Linked DNA regions of Cricetulus griseus. The protein of the gene in region 2 binds, or shares a complex with, the protein of the main gene of each other region. Links are inferred from orthologs where the notes say so. Each region holds a gene or a part of one and is shown on either strand. Other genes may lie near its edges.

The links.
Region 1: the proteins of Zc3hav1 (region 2) and Khnyn are in contact, whole or in part, in a crystal structure (PDB 9BGL), measured with the Homo sapiens proteins. The link is inferred for Cricetulus griseus from reciprocal best matches to the Homo sapiens genes ZC3HAV1 and KHNYN. Residues at the interface, in NP_064504.2 of Homo sapiens: Glu5, Val6, Cys8, Phe9, Lys12, Ile13, Ala16, His17, Glu29, Ile30, Ala31, Leu32, Leu113, Glu115, Phe118, Ser127, Gly128, Leu129, Asn130, Glu133; in NP_001277186.1 of Homo sapiens: His651, Lys652, Asp654, Phe655, Gln658, Arg659, Pro661, Tyr662, Asn677, Phe678.

What each region holds. Positions count from the first base shown.
Region 1 is NW_023276807.1:211,083,542-211,087,355, reverse strand, and holds part of Khnyn (protein KHNYN), read right to left. Parts: intron 2,352-3,814; coding exon 2,244-2,351; exon of another isoform or gene 2,185-2,243; intron 2,090-2,184; coding exon 1,988-2,089; intron 1,526-1,987; coding exon 1,267-1,525; 3' UTR 1-1,266.
Region 2 is NW_023276806.1:189,850,421-189,854,234, forward strand, and holds part of Zc3hav1 (zinc finger CCCH-type antiviral protein 1), read left to right. Parts: intron 1-255; coding exon 256-386; intron 387-627; coding exon 628-761; intron 762-1,789; coding exon 1,790-2,058; 3' UTR 2,059-3,814.

The DNA.
Region 1 (3,814 bases), on a different chromosome or scaffold from region 2:
GTCAGGAATGTGCCACCTTGCAGAGAGTAAATTCCCTGGCCAGGAATCAAGCAGATACAAAACAATAACTTGTGGGGATTGGGATGTAAACAGTTGGTCATGATAGGTCCGTAGAGTTTATCTGTGACCAATCAGGTATCTTTCAACTCGGATGATTCAGCTTCCACTTGCTAGATAATAGTTCCTTCACCATACACACAAAGTAGTAGTGTGTCTTGCTGAATGCAACCTACATCTTTCATAGAAGAAATATTAGATAGATCCCATTAACATTGTCGATGCAAAGCATGGCTTCATGAATTTGGTGAATACACTCAACACTAGAGAGAGGATTTAACCAGGGCCATTCTGACACATTTGTGAATCTGTAAACTAACAGCTGAATGCAGCTGACCAGCTGCCACTTCTAGGAACCCTGAGAGTATTTAGGTAATGCAACAATCAACCCTAACAACTATTTTGTTTTGAAGGTTGCTGGGAAAGGATGCAGCCATTACAGGGCATGTTCTATTGGAAACCCAGTGTTAAAACTGAGGGTATGGACTGTGGACATCTCTGAATGGGAACTTTTGGTTAGGGAGCCTATGCAGACACAGGCAGACACACCTGAGACATGATCCAAGATCACTTCCTCACAGAAGCTTCCTCTGTGTTCTCATTCCTCCTCTCAAAGGTTATTTCTATACCTGATGTATAGACATAAGTAAAGGCCAAGCGACTCTGCCAAGATCACAAGCAGAGCACAACTGAGACTGGAAGCCCGGTACCCCCCTCTGCCTTGTGGGTCTGTCTCTGCTGTCCCTCCAACAGCCCACACAGCACTACGGCCCTTCAGAACCCAGACAGCTCAGCCTGAACAGCCACTCAGAAGAGCAGCCTGGGGGGGCTTTCTTCCTCACCTCAGCCTTTTGCCACCTCCAGCTTACCCTAGTCTCCACCTCATTTTAACTTGGAGGTGAGGCCGACGGTCTCGGTCTTCATGAAGAGCCTCTACAGCCTATAGAAACCCTCTGCAAAGACGAGGTTGAGCAGTTAACTCTGATTAAAGTGGTCCTGACTCGGGTTGAGTCACTCTATGGACCTGTCCTCAAGTACCCCAGAGGCAAGAGTATTCCCACACTCAGATCTCTTCTCTGGTGCTTCCTCCAGCCAGAGTACCACCTTAGAGGGATCCATGCACAGTTTGAGCAGCAGAGGACTGTAAAGAAGGGGCTGGGCTGGGGGAGCTGAGTCTGATAGGGCAGCAGCTATGCAGGCAAGTAAGGCTCAAAAGTTGAGACTCAGCAGGGCCTCAGAAAGCTGATTAATATCCCGGCAGTATGGTTCCCGCTGCAGGATGAAGTCCACCTTGTGGTCCTGACCCCAAAACACCTCCAGCAGCTGGCGCCGGAGCCGCTCTGTCTCCCGGGTCTTGCGGATACCACCACTGCCTCTCTCCTCTTCCTTCCCCTGCTTCCCCTGCTGCTGATTACCATGGTCTGTGGGGCCCCTGGAGGGCTGGGGAGTCTTAGCAGAGCCCTGTTTCCTGGAGAAAAGCAGAGTAAGAACTGATAAGTACTCCTGAGAAAAACTAGGCCCCAGGGAGCCTCAGCCAAACTGACCAATTTCCAGCTTTAGGAGATGAATTCATGAAGTTCACTAAGCCGGCCACTGAGTGGCAGTATCAACCCACTAGGAAAACAACCCTAATGAGATGTAGCCCTGTTTCATCACTTGCTTGAGGAGCCAACAGAGGGTGTCGGGGTACAACTGGCTATCATTACATGCAACCATCTCCCAAATAGCTCCATCAAACACACTGACCAGAAGAATAAAGAAATAAATGTATCTCTGTGTCAGGATTCCCTGAGGGGACTTTAAAGACCAGTCCCAAAAACTTGAGACTGCTGCGGAACTAAGCTGGCCCAAACTGCGACACTCCCATCCAAACCTCCAATCCTTCAGAGGAGCAGATCTCAACAGGCTGCAGGCAGAGAAGGGGCATCACCTGACTGTCTTCTTCAGGAACTCATCCAGGGTGGGGCCATTTCGCCCCAGTGGGTCATCTGGGACCATGAAGAGGTTTCCCACAAAGGTGAAGGGCAGCAGGCTGGATGAGGAAAAAGGAAGTCACAGAAATGACCGCACCCAGAGCTCCTGGCTGTCACCCTGAGGCACCTCCAGGCCCTTCCCCAGGGTTCTCACCCAGTGGTCAGAGAAGAGCTGGTTTTAGAGAAAGGTCTGAGTCGGTGCCCTATTCTCACCGCTCTCTGATGATCGCCATCCACTTGTCAGACTCCTCCGCCAGATCCCGGAACTGGTCATTGGAGACAATGATCCCATCCGTCTCTTCAGCCAGCTTCACCATGAACCTGTCTCAAGAAAACACAGACACCATTCTGGGATTCTCCAAGGACCAACCCCACAATATGCTATCCATGCCTGAGACCCAATTCTGGTGATGGAGGTCAGTCTCCCAACTCGTTTACTGAAGTGAAGCGTGAGGGGAGCTTCTTGGGAACTGGGCCCAGACCGTCGTGCATCGTAGGCAAGTGCTTTACCACTGAAATTGTAGGTAGGTAGACAGACAGACAGACCAAGGGAGTGGGGCTAAGAGATAGGCAGGCATGGTGGCGCACACCTTTAATCCCAGCACTCAGGAGGCAGAAACAGGTGAATCTCTTGAGTTCTAAGCCAGCCTGGTCTACATAGTTCCAGGACAGCCAGGGCTACATAGAGAGACCCTGTCTCAAACAAACAAACAAACGAATTGCAGACAGGATCTTGCTAAATTACTCAGTCTAGCCTTGAATTCACTCTGTAGCCCAGCAGGCTTTGAACTCTCCATCTTGCTAAATTACTCAGTCTAGCCTTGAATTCACTCTGTAGCCCAGCAGGCTTTGAACTCTCCTTCTTCCTGCCTCAGCCTCTCAAGTAGTTGGGATTACAGCCTGTGCCTCCGTATTCAGCTCCTCCCCTCACTATCACCCAGCCACAGCTGACTAACTAGACATAGGCACCAAGATTAGAGAAGAAACAGTGATGAATCCAAGGTAGTCTCCCAACATCATCCCATTCACAACCCTTTACAGTAAGAGTGAGCTATAACTTTCTCCCGCCCTGCTAGTCGCTCACAAACCTGCATTCCTCCTCTGACCTTTCCATGCTGCCTTTCTTTCCAGGGCAACAATCGCCTTACTAATTCAGACATTAAAACAATACTACTGCCAGCCTCCCACCATCTTCCTGCATCCTCACCTGCTCTTCCCCTACATAGAGCTCTTCACCCCAATCCAGCCCAAGTGAGAGGCCTTGAATAAGTCCACATGGCCAAGCTGGCAGCTAACGGCTCTAGAATCCACCCGGATGCCACTCTTACAGCCTTTTCTCTCTCAGTATTCCCTAATGTAGCCTCAATTCCAGCCAAGATCAGTGATCAGATTACACTCTTAACCAGTCAGTTTCTTCTTATTCCCTCCATCTCAGGGTGTATCCTAAGCCTCTACAGTGACAGCCACTAAGGAACTCGCTTCCTGGGAGCTGGCTGGCGGTCTAGCTCAGCTGGTAGAGTGATTACCTAGCTGCACCAGGCCCTAGCTTCAATCTCCAGCACTATATGGACTGGGCAGGGTAACATACATGAGTAATCTAGCATTCAGGAGGTGGGGATAGGAGAATCAGAAGTTCAAGGTCATCCTTGGTTACTCAGTGAACCTGAGACCAACCTGGCTACATGAGACCATACCTCAAAAAGTAAAAATAAAAATAGTAAAAGTAAAAATTTCAACTTTTGTTCTTTTGAGATTTATTTTTTATGTATATAGGTGCTTTGTCT
Region 2 (3,814 bases):
ACTGGTCGGTTTTGGAGTTTGGGCTTTCTGGGTCTCTGGACTAAGTCACATATAAACAGAAAAGTGCACATGCCTGTTGGTTCATTACTAGAATGAACAAGAAGTTAGATATGGACACACTAAGCCAGCCTGTCTCACTGGAGAACAGCAATGGTGTTCATGGCATGGGGGGGGAGGGTGGTGGCCACATGTGTGAACATAGCATGTTTTTAGTATTTCCTAGTTTACATTTAAGCATCTAATTTTTTTTTTCAGTTGGTAGAGCTTGATAGCCAGGATGTGGAATATGCCACGATAAGTGAACTTTTTAAAGCATCCATGAAATATTTCAAGATTGTATCGATAAAGAGGATATGGAATCAAGACCTCTGGGAAACTTTTGAAAGGTGACATAATCAGACCTTGTTTGGGACTGTGTAGTTAAAGTATACTAAGAGGGCTCATTTTATTTTCACATTTATTTGGTACTAGGGTGCGGGGCATGCATGCATGTCATAAGGCAACTTGCTGGAGTCATTGGGTCTGCCCACGTGGGTCCAGACGATTGAACCCAGGCTCTCATGCTCAGCGGCAGCCATCTTGCTGGCCCAGTTTCTTGGTACTGAATCTCACATTTCTGTATATTAGGAAGAAGCTGATGATGAAGAATGACAATGAGATGCTGCTGTTTCATGCAACATGCCGTGTTCATGTGGATTATATCTGTAGAAATAATTTCGACTGGATCATAAATGATAGTCGGGAGACCAAATATGGAAAAGGTTTGTGCTGGGCTAGAGACAGCCATGATTCCAGCTCCGCACATGCTTTTGTTGAGATGTTCTTGGCATTAGTTTGTAAACTTGCATGTCTGGGCTCTGGTGGCCCTGGAAGAAAAGAAGCTAAGTTACCTTCAGCCTGTGTTAGGACAGGTCTCTTGACTTGGGGGTGTGGGTGTTAGGCCTTGGCTCTAGGTCTTCGGTCTTGTTTCTCTCTGGGGACAACTGAAGGTCTTCATTCTTGTAAACTGCTCCATCTACTGGCTGTATTGTCTGCCGTTAGCACTTACTGGAGATGGCTCTTCCTGTCCTATGTCTGTGACTGCAGAGCTTTTCAAACTATCTTTCTGTTGTCACCAATGGATTCCAGTTAAGAATGGGAAGAGGGGCCGGGAGTTGGTGGGGCACGCCTTTAATCTCAGCACTGGGGAGACAGAGGCAGGCAGATCTCTGTGAATTTGAGGCCAGCCTGTTCTACAGAGCAAGGCCCCTTCTCATGTCAGCCACATTTTTATTTTTAAAGAGGTTTGCCCTCCTTTTTTTTTGTTGAGGAATCATTCACTCTTTGTGGGTGTTTGAGGAATGTGACGTAGTCAGACCCGGCAGCATAGTACAGTGTAGAATTCTGTGGCGGGGACCAGACCTGTCTCAGGGAAAAATAATACAAACTACCTGGGAATGGTGGCGCATGTTTTTAATCTCCGTACTTGGGAAGCAGAAGCAGGAAGATCGCTTGAGTTTGAGTTTAGCCTGGTTCACATAGAGAGTTCCAGGACAGCTAGCACTACCTAGCGAGACCTTGTCCTAGATAAAATAAAACAATGACAAACTGAGGTGCTGGGGACAACTAGGAAGGAGGGGGGTAGGTAGCAATGACAGCTGGAGCTATTGGTCACAGACAGGTGGTGGGATAGTAGTAAGTGTTATTGGCAGATGTTTTTCACCCATACCAATGTCTGCTTCTCTGTATCCCGTTATAACCTATACTCATTGATAAATAACAATTTACCACTTTTTCTGGTTATTTCTAGGAAATTACTTTGCAAAAGAAGCCATGTATTCCCACAAGAATTGTTCATATGAGGCCAAAAACATTGTTATGCTTGTCGCCCGAGTCTTGGCTGGAAATTCCATTGAAGGAAATATGAGATACAGTAGCGCTCCCGCCCTCTATGACAGCTGTGTGGATAGCAGGTTGAATCCCTCGGTCTTTGTCATCTTCCAGAAAGAGCAGATTTACCCAGCGTATGTGATTGAGTACACGGAGCTAGAGAAAGAGAAAGCCTGCATAATTAGTTAGAAAACGATGTATACTGCCGCGTCGAAGCCTTTATGTTGACTTCTAGGACCAAACCATCCCCAGACAGTAGTTAGACTTTTGCATTTCCTTGCTACATTACCTAACGTCTTAAATCAGCCATTCTCAAACTTCTCTCCAGATTCACAGTCCCTGGCCAGGCAGTTTTTTTGTAAAAATTGCCCCCATGACTCCAGCATTTTGAAAAGATTTCGTTGTCTTACATTCCTAGTGAGGCTGGTTTCTAAATTGTCTGTAATCTTATCTTTCCCATCTACTCTTTGTTTTTATTGTGTATGTAGGTAGCATTGTTTCGGTTTCGCTTAATTTGAACTGGATATTAGTTTGAGAAATTTGAGAGACATGTAATAATGTTTATGGAAATAGGGACATATAAGAAGACATTGCAGCTTTGAGTAGAAAACTTGCTGAGGAAAAAAGTTTAAAGGTTAAATTTAAACGATATTGAGACACAAAAGCAGTACGCAATACTATATATTACCATGCGATGAAACTGACCTGAGGAACACATTTCTGTCTCTCTGCATTTACTTAGAAGACAGACTCCATGGAGTTGACTCTGAAATACAGTGATAAGCACCCCTAAGTATAGTTCAGAAGCAACTAACTGGAGTTAATTGTCCATTGAGGCTCTTGGTATCCGAGTTCTAATTCATGTGATTACAGAGGATGCTTCTTGCAGGCTTTTGTGTAATCATCCGGATTTTTTTAGTAAGATTAAGTTGCAGTACTGATAAAACCTAGTGTTATTGGGATTTGTGTACAGTGACAGAAGGGTTGTCAGAAGCCAGGAAAGGCCTTCCCTGTTGGAAGGGCCTTGTAAGGAGGCAAGACTGGTTTGTTGGTGAGCGCAAAGCAGTGCAGAGAAAGCAGTGTCCCACATAGACCTTTACTGTTAGCCACATCTTTTTGAAAGCATAGTGGGTGTGGGTTTTTTAGAGCATTTAGGACGCCCGGACCAATTTTTTTTCCTTGCTTACTGTGTACAGATCAGGTCCTTCCTTCCAACCTCCCTTTCTCAACGTTCTGTCCCAGTTGCCAGAGTTTCCTGGCATATTTTTTCCTTTCCTGTTACATTTTCTTCCAGCAGACATGTTCATCGTTAATGGGCATTTGATCAGATTTTTCATCAGTTGCTTTACTTTGAAAGTCTCCAATAATGATATATTGAGAATTTTTTAGAGTGGGATTCTTGTCATTCATTGCCACAATTTTTCTTTTTTAATTCACTGATTTTTCTTTTCTTTTTCTCACGTGGTATCTTCTATTTTGGAATACTCATTCTCTGACATAGACTTCATACTGTAGACACGTAGTGCATCTAACTACTTGGCAAGCTAACTTCTAGTTGGATATTTACCTGCCATCTCCAGTTCAACAGGCTCAAAATGGAACACTCTATTTGCCTGCTTCAAAGTGATTCACCCCCAAAGATTCACCTGCCCCAACCCCATAAACAGTATCACTTGCTCCCTGATACACAAGCAGAAAGCTAGAATTCCTCCCAGGCTCCTAGCTTCCCCCAGTCTGAGTCGTTCCTAAGCCCATTCTGAAGCACCTAGTTCAATTCTGTGGGTCTCAGTGAACTGTTCTGTCGGGGTTCCCACCCCTCCCCGCACAAGCAATATCTGTTTTAATCTCTAAAGTGCAATTCAGACATATATTCTCCATATAACTCCATTAATTAAAAAAAGTTAATATAATTTAAGAGGGAAATACAAGGCCGTAACTCCGGCAC